Linked DNA regions of Danio rerio. The protein of the gene in region 2 interacts with the protein of the main gene of each other region in a biochemical or structural test. Links are inferred from orthologs where the notes say so. Each region holds a gene or a part of one and is shown on either strand. Other genes may lie near its edges. The genes, in order: pdgfrb, Na(+)/H(+) exchange regulatory cofactor NHE-RF2 and abcc4.

Region 1 (3,736 bases), on a different chromosome or scaffold from region 2:
CATCCATCCATCATCCATCCATCCATCCATCCATCCATTCATATATCATTCTTTAATACATCCATCAATCCATCCATCCATCAATCTATATATCATTCATTTATACATCCATCCATGAATCCATCTACACATAATTTATTAATCCATCCATCCATGCATCTATCCATCCATCCATCCATCCATCCATCCATCCATCCATCCATCCATTCAATACTATATCCATCCATTCATCCATTCATCAATCCACCCATCTATATATCATCCATTAATACATCCATCCATGCATGTAACAATCCATCCATCCATCCATCTATCCATGTATACATCCATCCATCAATCCATCTACATATCATTCATTAATCTATTCATCCATCCATCCATCGACCCATCCATCCATCCATCCATCCATCACTATACTAACTTGTCCATTTGACTAAATATTATCCATCTATATACAATATTATCCATTAATAAATCCATTCATCCATATATCCATACACCCATCAATCCAACCATCCATCTACAAATGATCTATTAATAAATTGATCCATTCATCTATGTATCTATTCATTCATTCATCTATTTCTCCATCAATCCATTTATCCATCCATCTATATATCATAATTAATACATCCATCCATCTATATATCATTCATTAATACATCAGTCTATATATCATCAATTTATTCAGCCCTCCATCTATTCATTCATCCTTCCATCCATCCATCAGCAAAGAAACCAATTTAAACCCTAAAAAATTCACTGATACTAATTTGATGATAATGATGATGATGTTTATGAAGATGATGATGATGATGATGAAGTGTCATCACCTGGTCATGCTGTCGCAGCTGAACCACTGAATGCTGGGTTTGGGCACTCCTTCTGCCACACAGGTCACTGCGTGCTTCTTCTCCGGCAGGTGATGATCTGACAGCTCCGTTATCTGAGGAGGAACTGCAGAAGCAGACAAAAGATCTTCACATGAAAACCTCACTCAATAAACCAGACGGGTGAACAACAATTAATTCTTTAAAAATATAAATAAATATGTCATTTTTAAATACAAATAAGAAATATCACAGTCATAATTTAATAGTTAATTAAAAATACTATTGATACCAAACAAATATATGTTGATCAATTTATTCTAAAATGTTTTTAAATATATACATATTTATAACATGCATAATTTATTATAACCAAATTAAATGTTAAATAATAAGGTAATTTAAAAAATGTCATATTATTGCAGAAATTAATTAAATAAAAATCCAACTTAGTTTTCTTTTTTGTTCAGTAAATAAAAATAAAAAATATATATTTTTTATAATAAAATAAAACAATAAAATAAAATAAAATAAAATTAAATTAAAAGCTTTCTTTTGAGGGGTGGCTTGTGATGTAGGGAGATTTATTCATATTTATTCATATTTATTTTTATTTTATTTTTTATTTTTATATTATTATTTTTATTATTTATTCATATAATTTTTATTTAACTTATTTGACGAAAAGATAAAAAATATAATAATAAAAAATATAAAATATAATAAAATTAAATTAAAGTCTTTTGAGTGATGGCTTGTGATGTAGATAGGTTTATCCATATTTTATTTTTATTTTTATTATTATTTATTATTATTATTTTTATTATATTATTATTTTATTATTTATTCATATCATTTTTTTACTTATTTGCCAAAAAAAAATAAAATAAATAAATTGAATTAAATTAAATTAAAGTCTTTTAAAGGGTGGCTTGTGATGTAGGCGGTTTATTTATACTTATTTTTATTATTAATATTATTATTGTTATTATTATATTAATTTATTATTTATTTCTATAATTTTTATTTAACTTATTTGACAAAAAATTAAATAAAATAACTTTCACAGTAGTTTCAGTGGCTAATAATAAAAGTTAACTGGTTCCGCAGTATTCCTGGCAGCTGGTATTATTCTTGCTGCTTCCCATCTTAAACCAACATGGGTGTCTATTTTCAGGAAATGGGGTGGTGTGTAAATGGATGTTGAACCGTCTCACCTTTCACCTCTAGGTCAAAGATCATCTCTTTGAGGGCGTCTTCATTTTGGACGGTGACTTTGTAGAGACCCATCTGCTGCAGTCGAGTTCTGACCAGGGTCAATGTGCTGACAAACCTGCAACGCATCCAGTGCTGCATCAGTGTCTGTTTATATATATATCTCTGTTAAATCTCTGCTGATCTTCAAGCAGAGAGTAAATCTGCATTTGCTTTCAGCCTCTGAAGAAGAGTGTGAGTATTTGAGGGTCATGAATACCTCGTTTCGTGCTCCTCCCTCATGCTGTGTCCTCTGATAACAGCACCGTCTTTCCTCCACTGGACTGTAGGTTTGGGATACGCCTCGATCTCCACCTTCAGCTCCACGTTTTCTCCGAGCTGCGCAGAGATGTTTCTGTCCAGAGGAGGAGTCAGAGACACAAAACCCTTCTCTGCAGACAGACAAAAAAAAAAAAAGATCACGTGTGGAATAATCAGTATTTGCTTCATTAACAAAATCTATATGAAATGTATAGATTAATAACAAACAAAACAGCAAGACACGACAAAAGTAAATTAAACTACATTTTCTGATTACTGCCAATTGCCTAGTGGTAAGTGTGTCGACATGTATTGTCATTGTGTTTTGCGCATCTTGATTTCGAATACTGGCTTGTGGACATTTCCCAACTCCATAATTCAAGATTATTTGTATAGCGTAGCGCTTTTATTTATTTATAGGGCATTAATACCATCAACCATTCCCATTTTATTAAGGTGCATCCATATAAATGGCCCACCCTGTACTATGACAATGATCGCCTCAGGTACTTATTATGAGCTTTATTCAGTATAAATGTAACCAGTAACCGAGTTTTAATACATTTTTGGCCTGACATTTATAACCATACTGAAAGCAGCAGCAGATAATTTACCTCAGAAAATGAAATACAAGTACAGTTTGAACATGAACGTTAGAGCTGTGAATATCACTACAGTTTCCATTTCCGCAGCAAAACAAGAGCATAAAATACTATGACAATGATCGCCTCAGGTACTGATTATGGGCATTATTCAGTATAAATGTCACCAGTATGAGTTTGAATACTATTTTTCCTGACATTTATAACCATACTGAAATTAACAGCAGATAATTTACCTCAGAAAATGAAATACACGTACAGTTTGAACATGAACGCTAGACCTGTGACTCTCAGAACAGTTTTTATGACCACAGCAAAACAACAGCATAAATTAATATGACAATGATCGCCTCAGGTACCGATTATGGGCATTATTCAGTATAAATGTAACCAGTATGAGTTTAATTACTATATTTTTTCTGACATTTATAACCATACTGAAATTAACAGCAGATAATTTACCTCAGAAAATGAAATACACGTACAGTTTGAACATGAATGTTAGAACTGTGACTATCAGTACAGTTTCGATTTCCGCAGCAAAACAAGAGCATAAAATACTATGACAATGATCACCTCAGGTACTGATTATGGGCTTTATTCAGTATAAATGTAACCAGTACGAGTTTGAATACTATTTTTCCTGACATTTATAGCCATACTAAAAGCAACAGCAGATAACTTAAATCAGAAAATGAAATACACTCACACTTTGAACATGAACATGAACGTTAGAGCTGTGACTGTCAGTACAGTTTCTATTTCCGCAGCAAAGCAACAACATAAACT
Region 2 (4,161 bases):
TTCTCCATTAAATTTTGACCTTAAAACTGTTTAAAAAATTCAAATTAAAAACTGCTTTTTTTCTCTAGCTTAAATCAAACAATTAAGACTTTCTCCAGAAGAAAAAATATTAGCAGACATGCTGTGGAAATTTCCTTGCTCTGTTAAACATCATCTGGCAAATATTTAAAAATCAAAGGGGGTTTATAATTCTGACTTCAACTGAATATATACACCCAACTAAATGTTATCTTTTCCATTCTGGTATTACTATTGCTACTATTACTACTACTATACTTTTATAATTATGGCTGTGTAAATAACCTACAGTTTTCAAAAATATTAAAATAGAAAAATACAAAACTATTAAAAGAATACAGCTGTTCTGTGTCAGTTAAATCAGTTGACTGTTGAAATTAAAAATTTTAACCCAACTGGTTGAGTTATTAATGTAGATAACCAAATAAAAATATATATCCAAATAAAATAAATAACCAAATAAAGGTTAAACATGACCAAACAAAGGACCAAATATTTAACACAACTGGTTAAGTTATTATATATATATATATATATATATATATATATATATATATATATATATATATATATATATATATATATATATATATATACGTGTGTGTGTGTGTGTAATATCTACATTTACATAAATATTTACAGTTGAAGTCAGAATTATTAGCCCCCCTTTGAATTTTTCTTTTTTTTTTGTTGTCTTTTTAAAATATTTCCCAAATGATGTTTAAGAGAGCGAGGAAATTTTCACAGTATGTCAGATAATATTTTTTCTTCTGGAGAAAGTCTTGTTTGTTTTATGTCGGCCAGAATAAAAGCAGTTTTTAATTTTTTTAAAACCATTTGAAGGTCAAAATTATTAGCCCCTTTAAGCTATATTTTTTCTCGATAGTCTACAGAACAAACCACTGTTATACAATGACTTGCCTAATTACCCCAACTTAATTAGTTAAGCCTTTAAATGTCACTAAGCTGTATAGAAGTGTCTTGAAAAATATCCAGTCAAATATTTTTTACTGTCATCATGGCAAAGATTGGGGGATAGGGCTAATAATTCTGTTTATATGCATGGGTACTGCATGTATGTGCATATATATTTTTTCCCATTTAGTTTTTACCAGTTGTTCATAAAAATTATGTAAAAAAATAAACATACATGATTCCTTAATCAATAACTGCTATTTGACATTGTTTACATACATTAATGAGGGTCAAATAAGCCTCTTTCTCTGCTCATCTGTATTGTCGCTTATTTATGGGCGGTCTTTTTTCACGCCACGCAGTTTCTCAGTGGACAGCATTTCTCTCTCTCTCTCTCTCTCTCTCTCTCTCTCTCTCTCTCTGTGGGCAGAATGTCTCATGGAGGAGTTTTGGATGCGTCTGTGAACATCCACAGGTAGTTGCACAGTCTGCTTTTAGCGCTATCACTTTTGCATGTAATTCCTCGCGAGCGCTTTTGGACACGAGAGTCTTCTGCCTTCATATCTGTTTTAATTGTTGCATGCGCGTTATTGTAAACACATCGGCATACGGCAGCGATGCGCGTTTATAAACCTTTGCGAATGCATTTTACGTAAGTTTCCGCTTTATTTATTTATTTTTCTTTGCTTGGGAAATCGCGCATGGATTGTGTTGCAAGTTTGTGAATGTGAAGGCAACGGCGGAATACAATGGCAAGCGATTTGAAGCCTCGCTTGTGCGTAATGAAGAAAGGAGAGAACGGCTATGGGTTTCATCTGCACGGAGAGAAAGGAAAAACCGGACAGTACATACGGAAAGTGGAACGCGCGTCCCCGGCGGAGGCGTCGGGACTGCGCGCGGGTGACCGTGTGGTGGAGGTGAACGGCGAGAACGTGGAGAGAGAGACACACCATCAGGTACATCAACACACACACACACACACACACCTGAGCTGCTGGTCTCAAATATTCAGCACACATTATACTGGATCCTAATGCAGGATCGTATTATTATGCATTTTATTGCTTATAACAACAACATGTGTGTTAAAACAAGTGCTTGAAGATAATTAGATTAGGATGTATCTCCATATGGAAGCAGAAAGAGCTTTATTGCCACTGCCAGGTAAGATTTTACATACAAGGAGTTTGCTTTTGTGACAGAAGAGTGTATCAAAATGGCAGTGACAGGACAAAAACACTGATAATAAAGGAATTAAATAAGTAAATAGAGAAAACAAATGCATATTACATTAGGCAATAATGTGTGTAAAGCTATATTATGTGCAAATTGACATGTAAACTGAGTATGTTGTTAAATAAATGTGTACATATGTCGGTAAATAGTTTTGTTCCATTCTACAGGGTGTCCGTGGGGGTCTTAAAATGTCTCAAAATCCAAACTTTTAGGCCCTAAATTCACTGAAACATTGTATTGTAAGTCCTAAATCATGTTAAACAGGTCTTAATTTTCCTGTATTCATGTAAACCTGCCCAATCAGACCAACATCCTTCAATCCTTCCATCTCAATAAAAGTTTTAACAAAAGTTTATTTAAAAGGCACCTATTTTACCCCTTTTTCAAGATTTAAGAGAAGTCTTTTGTGTCTCCAGAGTCTGTCTGTAACGTTTCAGCTCAAAACACTTCTGATTATTTATGAGACCTTTCAGACTATTGGGACTGTCCGCTCTGAACACTATGTAGTAGGGTTGGGCCGATAGATGATGCCGTTGTCCATCGCTGATGGCCAATAGACAACACGATTGCCCTCGTCGCAAATCCGCTCGCGATAAACACACACTTAGGCCCTGTTTACATTAATACGTCTTAGTGTTAAAATGGCATTTTAGAACGAAAATGATCCACATCCACACCGTGTTTTACCCAGCATTTCTGAACAGCCCTCCGTCCGCTGAAAACACACACAGACAGCCACACACACACACACACTATCATGCGCTCGTTTGAGCTTCAGTGAGCAGAGCATGTCAGACAGTTTATGAAGGATGTACCGCTGGATTGCGTCTCACTGTAGTTGTTAAACGTGATATTTAGACATCCCAAGTCTCCCGGAAGTTCCGGGAGTCTCCCACAACTGCTTTGAGACTCTCGGATCCCTCCTCGCTCTTCACACACATCGCGCACACTCTGTCAAACTCCGTCTCTGTCCCCAAACCCCAACCCCCCGCTTTTCACAAACATATATAACCGGACAACCCTACCCCCCCGATGATGCCATTACGATGGCAAATTGTCAGTGTCCTCATCTCTGGCTTTGTCAGATAAACAGCACAGTTACAGATATGAAGGAAGCAGACCTCACGTAAGGTTTGTGAGAAACACTACAGTAAGAACTTTCCCAATGATTATTGGATGTATTTGTTGTGGAGTTAATTCAAGCCTTTCTGCAACAACGAGTCACACACAGTGTCCTTACAAAGTTCACACACAGACACACACACACACAGCTCACGCGTTTAACTTTGCTCTGTTTTTGCACGCAAATGTGACAGGGTACATGCTAATATCCACTGCTGTATAGCTGATATCCGTTATGTTAATGTACAAAATAAAGCTTATTTAACGTCCACAAACCGGGATTGAAGCGCCTTCTTTTACAATTGTACTGATATGCGGCTGCGGTGATGAATTAATGCGATTTTACCATCTTTAACCTACTTTATTACAAACATGCACTGTTTTAAAAACGTTTTAAACTTGTAAAACTTATTCTTTATCATATTTGATGATGACTGATGATCACAGAGAGCTGAACAGATCTTTTAATCCCAGTTGCTTTGCGCACGTCCTGTCTTGTTGATATGATTAAACGCATTACTATGGATGTTAATTCACGGCTGTCAGTCAATTCTGTGGACGGGGAAACCTCACTCCTATGTCACGTTGTGGTCGGCCTCAAAATGGAGGGGATTTGGATCCTATTTTAACGTCAGGAAATTAAAAAAATAGAGGCTTATTGTCTTTATATCACCCCAATATGACTGTGAACACACTATACCTACACACAGTTCTGTCCAAAAGATGATTTTCATCATAGGTGCCCTTTAATAACTCTTGTTTATTAATTATGTTTACTGAATCTATATTTATAAACACATGGTTTAATTATCTTTCTTACAATAACATTTGTTTTTATGTTTTTTTTTTATGTTTTAACTGGGTTATAGA
Region 3 (4,523 bases), on a different chromosome or scaffold from region 2:
ATGAGGATTCCTGTAATTGTTTTTAGTTTTTTCCTCTGATTAGAGAATTTAATTTGGGGAATTTGCTGTAAACATGTCTAACAGCTGTTATGAACTCACTTTGCAATTAAAAACTTAAAAATAAATAAAGGTTTTGAGATGTGTTGTTGGTTATTAGATGGATATTGGCCCAAATTGCGTAGCTTTACTTAGGGAAAAAATAAGACCTGTTAAAAACAGTTTAAGACTTACAACACAATATGTCAGTAAATTTAGGACTTTTTAAGGCCTTAATTTTAGGTTCTGAAATGGAGGTCATTTTAAGACCCTGCGGAAAACACAATAGTCTTTCTTTTATAAACAATTTCAAATTAATCGTTATTAATTTCTTAAAAGTTACAAATGATACTTTTTTTAGGCCTGAATGCTTTTAAAAGCCTCACAGTCACAAGCATCAAAGAACACTTGCGAAATAATAAATAATAATCAAGAGTCAACAACTGAGTGTTCCTAAAAGTCAAACAAAACCTAAAAACCACTGATATTGCAGCCAAATGAATGGATTTCAATGTCCATGTGGAACAAACTGTCCATGAAGATACTCTTTTTTTTTTCATATCTACGAATTTAAAGTAATGCACAAGTGCAAAAGCTTTTATAATTAAGGTATGCTGTGGATAGTTTTATTTTAAAATCCAGAAAAATATATTATTTGAACTAGGGCTGCACAATATATCATTTCAGCATCAATATCAATGTGATCATTCGCAATAGTCACATCGCTAGTATATGCAACGTTGAGTCTGGATTATAATTTCGCAAGTGTTTTTTTCAATCTAAAATGATAAATTTATCTCATCTAAGTGAAATTGTATTCATATCGCAGAATAAAAAAAATTGCAATGTTAGATTTTTACCAATATCATGCAGCCCCTAATTTGGACATCTTTCAGTCATTAATTCAAAGTGTTAAGCATAGATCTCAAACTCAATTCCTCGAGGGCTGCAGCTCTGCATAGTTTTGCTCCAACCGTAATCAAACACAGCTGATCCAACTAATCAAGGTGTTCAAGACTACTAGGCTGCGTCCGAAACCGCCTACTACTCAGTAGGTACTGCATTTGAATGGAAACGTACTACTCGGCCGTTAGAAAAGTACGTTCTATACAGTATGAATGTGAAAAGTATGAATGGAATTCGGACATACTACATCCGCCATTTTGTCATGGTCACGCGACCTACCTGCGTCATTTGCGTCGCTTCACTCCCATTCATGAATTCGCTCGCGGGGCATCATGGGATAGCGCAGCGTGCATGGGATGCGCACTTCAGAATCTCGCGGGAAGTAGTAAGTCATCCGGGTACTTCTCGCATACTGATTTTCGAATTCTATGAATTCGGACATACTACTCGGCTCACATACTGATTTTAGCGTACTATACATGTACATATGGAAGTATGCGGTTTCGGACGCAGCACTAGAGATTACGCAGGTGTGAGTTGGAGGTGGTTGGAGCAAAGCTGTGCAGAGCTGCGGCCCTCCAGGAATTGAGTTTGAGACTTATGGTTTAGAGCAGGGGTCACCAACTCTGGAGAGCTACCTTCCTGCAAAATTCAGCCAAAAGCACCTCAACCAATTAATAGGACCTGAAGCAGCACTTAATAATTACAGACAGGTGTGTTTGTTCAGGGTTGCAACTGAAATCTCCAGAAAGGTAGCTCTTCAGGAACAGGATTGCTGAGCCCTGGTTTAGAGTCGTGTTTTGTCCTGTCACTTGCAGGCAGTCACTGCATTTTCAAAGCTAATATCTTGTAATAAAGAGGTTTTTAGTGCAGTTGTATATTATTTTAATATTACAATTTCTACAGAATGTTGTGACAATCTGCTTTTTATTTACATGATTATAATTAAATTATGATATATTTTAAATTATGTTCACATAGAAAACGGTACGTTTGATGTGGAAAAAAATCATAATAAAACCCAAAACTTTCATTCATTCATTTTCTGTTCAGCTTAGTCCCTTTATTAATCAGGGATGGTCACAGAGGAATGAACCGCCAACTTATCCAGCATATGTCACAACCCAGCACTAGGAAATGTTTAAAAACTTAAAAAGTACAAAAGAAATGTTCTTTGCCTTCAAATGAACATACATAAGCAAGAAAAAGTAGCATTTTCACTGTTATATATATATATATATATATATATATATATATATATATATATATATATATATATATATATATATATATATATATAAATGTTGTAGAAGCTCTTGGGAAAGTTTAGGACCAACTTTCCCAGTTTAACAAAGCCATAGATTAGACACGACTGACAGAAAAAACACTTCACATCATCTAATTATGGTTGTCTTTAGTTTCAGAAGATGTACATTATTATAAACAAGAGCAAACATTCTTTCTTTCTTTGTTTTTACTTCAGTGGAAACACAAAATACTCTTCCCCCCTGCCTTAGGGGCATTATAAAACTTGACTTACCAGAAAAATATCTGCGAGAAGAGATTAGCCGAGGCTGAGGGGTTGCTTTTGGCATCTTTCTTTATCGGCTCCATATCGCTTGTCATCCTCCCCGCGGTTCAGCCGGACTCTGGTACCCCTCGCATAACCTGTAACCAGCGCAAGACATTTACCTTGTAAACTGTTGTATAACTTTCTAACACGCACATGTCGGTAACTACAGGCTGAGGTAAAACCGTTCATTTCCTACTGTGAGCGTGAGACCAAACCCCGCCCCATCCGAGCAGCGATTGGCTCATTGTCACTCCTGTCAAACCTGATTGGGCGCTAATAAGCAAGACGTACACACATTTATATATACACCTAAGGTCATGTTAACAGATGTGATAAGATTATGAATATGTTATTAATATTAATTAGAGCATAGCTACGTTGCTTAGAAACCCTCCTTGACTGTGGCGTCAAGAGCAATGACTGGTCAAGAGACTTAAGTAATATTGAGTAGCTCGACGTCACCCGCCTGATTATTTATAATCTTCTTGATATCAGCCAATCGGTATGGTGTACGTCACGTCATTTGATTAATATTCATGAGAAGCAGCTTCGCTATAGTAGGTTTTACTTACTGGATGCAGCAATTAGGATGGAACTACAGCATATTTACGGAAAACAGGTGGAGTTGCTGGTAAAAATGATTGTTTATTGTTGTTTTATACACACATTGTTGTTGTTTTTTGACACAAGAGAGCAGGGGAGACGTACATATGAAGCTTTGATTGTGTAATTGTACTTCTGGGTGAGGAGGCTTTTTGTCTACCATCTGTTCTTTATTAGCTCTGCACACACACACACACACACACACACACACACACACACACGCACGCACACACACACACACACACACACACACACACACACACACACACAGACACACACACACCACTCATGTAGTGTGCTGGAAGCAATCATCTTTAATTAAAGTGTCCAAACAGAGGAAAGCAAAGAGCAACACAAAGCACATATTTCTTTTTTAATATATGGAATGCTTTAAAATGAAAACCATTTACCATCGTTAAAACCCAGATGACTATGAAACACAAGTGGATGTATTTTTAATGTTAGACTGCTTGTTTTTTTTGTCCATGCATCTAGATGAAATTGTGAATTATTAATCACATTCAAAAACAGTTTTATATTATGTTAGCTTTAAATATACAGTGTGTGCTGTATTTATTATGTACAACACTCACACACATGCATTACGAAAGACACAAAATTAAAATATGAATATATAAGTATTAATTATATATATATTTAAAAGTATATATAAGTATTAATTATATATATATTTAAAGACTGAAACTTGTAATTTTGGCTATTCAAATGTAAAATTATTGTAAACGCAAAATAAAAACTATTTAAATTCAAGATATAATTGTTTATTAGAATTTTTGTTTGACTTTTAACACAGATTTCTTCATGTAAACAACATACCCACAATAAACCATCAAGATCCTGGCTTGACAGCTATATTTATTACAGAAATTAAAACACAGGCATGTTAATGACATTTTAAAACAATCATTGCCAATAAAAAAAAAAATATTTCCAAGTTGGATTCTAAGTGGACTGCAAAAAAAAAAATGCCAAAATACAGGCATTGCAGATATGGAAAATGATAATAATAAAGTATTGAATACAAACAGTTGCACTTACTGTAAAGTTGTATTGCTGTGAGTTGAGAACATTAATTATAATGTAGAAACAATTTACATTCAGCTAGTTGCTAAAACAGTCCAGTCTGTTGACATTATCGGGGGACAATGTGGACCTTTTCTTTTGAATGTTGTGAGCTGAGAGTGCAACGCAATCTCACAGCAATTCGTAACTTTTCGATGTAGTGACTATGGACAACGTCGTTTTGGCAGGTTTGCGCACGCACAGACACAACACACAAACAGTTTTGGTTGAAATAAATTTGTTTAATTTCAGCTAGAATAAAAGCAGATTTAAAAACTTTTAACCGCTATTTTAAGGACAAAATTTGTTATTCCCTTTAAGT

The links.
Region 1: the proteins of Na(+)/H(+) exchange regulatory cofactor NHE-RF2 (region 2) and pdgfrb form a complex in vitro, tested with the Homo sapiens proteins (2 studies listed by BioGRID and IntAct, with this or other methods). The link is inferred for Danio rerio from reciprocal best matches to the Homo sapiens genes NHERF2 and PDGFRB.
Region 3: the proteins of Na(+)/H(+) exchange regulatory cofactor NHE-RF2 (region 2) and abcc4 form a complex in vitro, tested with the Homo sapiens proteins (2 studies listed by BioGRID and IntAct, with this or other methods). The link is inferred for Danio rerio from reciprocal best matches to the Homo sapiens genes NHERF2 and ABCC4.

What each region holds. Positions count from the first base shown.
Region 1 is NC_133189.1:3,712,549-3,716,284, forward strand, and holds part of pdgfrb (platelet-derived growth factor receptor beta), read right to left. Parts: intron 2,477-3,736; coding exon 2,305-2,476; intron 2,164-2,304; coding exon 2,048-2,163; intron 958-2,047; coding exon 834-957; intron 1-833. UniProt on the Homo sapiens protein: Tyrosine-protein kinase that acts as a cell-surface receptor for homodimeric PDGFB and PDGFD and for heterodimers formed by PDGFA and PDGFB, and plays an essential role in the regulation of embryonic development, cell proliferation, survival, differentiation, chemotaxis and migration.
Region 2 is NC_133178.1:11,799,055-11,803,215, forward strand, and holds the start of Na(+)/H(+) exchange regulatory cofactor NHE-RF2, read left to right. Parts: upstream 1-1,361; 5' UTR 1,362-1,682; coding exon 1,683-1,889; intron 1,890-4,161.
Region 3 is NC_133181.1:8,255,062-8,259,584, reverse strand, and holds the start of abcc4 (ATP-binding cassette sub-family C member 4), read right to left. Parts: upstream 2,812-4,523; 5' UTR 2,569-2,811; coding exon 2,483-2,568; intron 1-2,482. UniProt on the Homo sapiens protein: ATP-dependent transporter of the ATP-binding cassette (ABC) family that actively extrudes physiological compounds and xenobiotics from cells.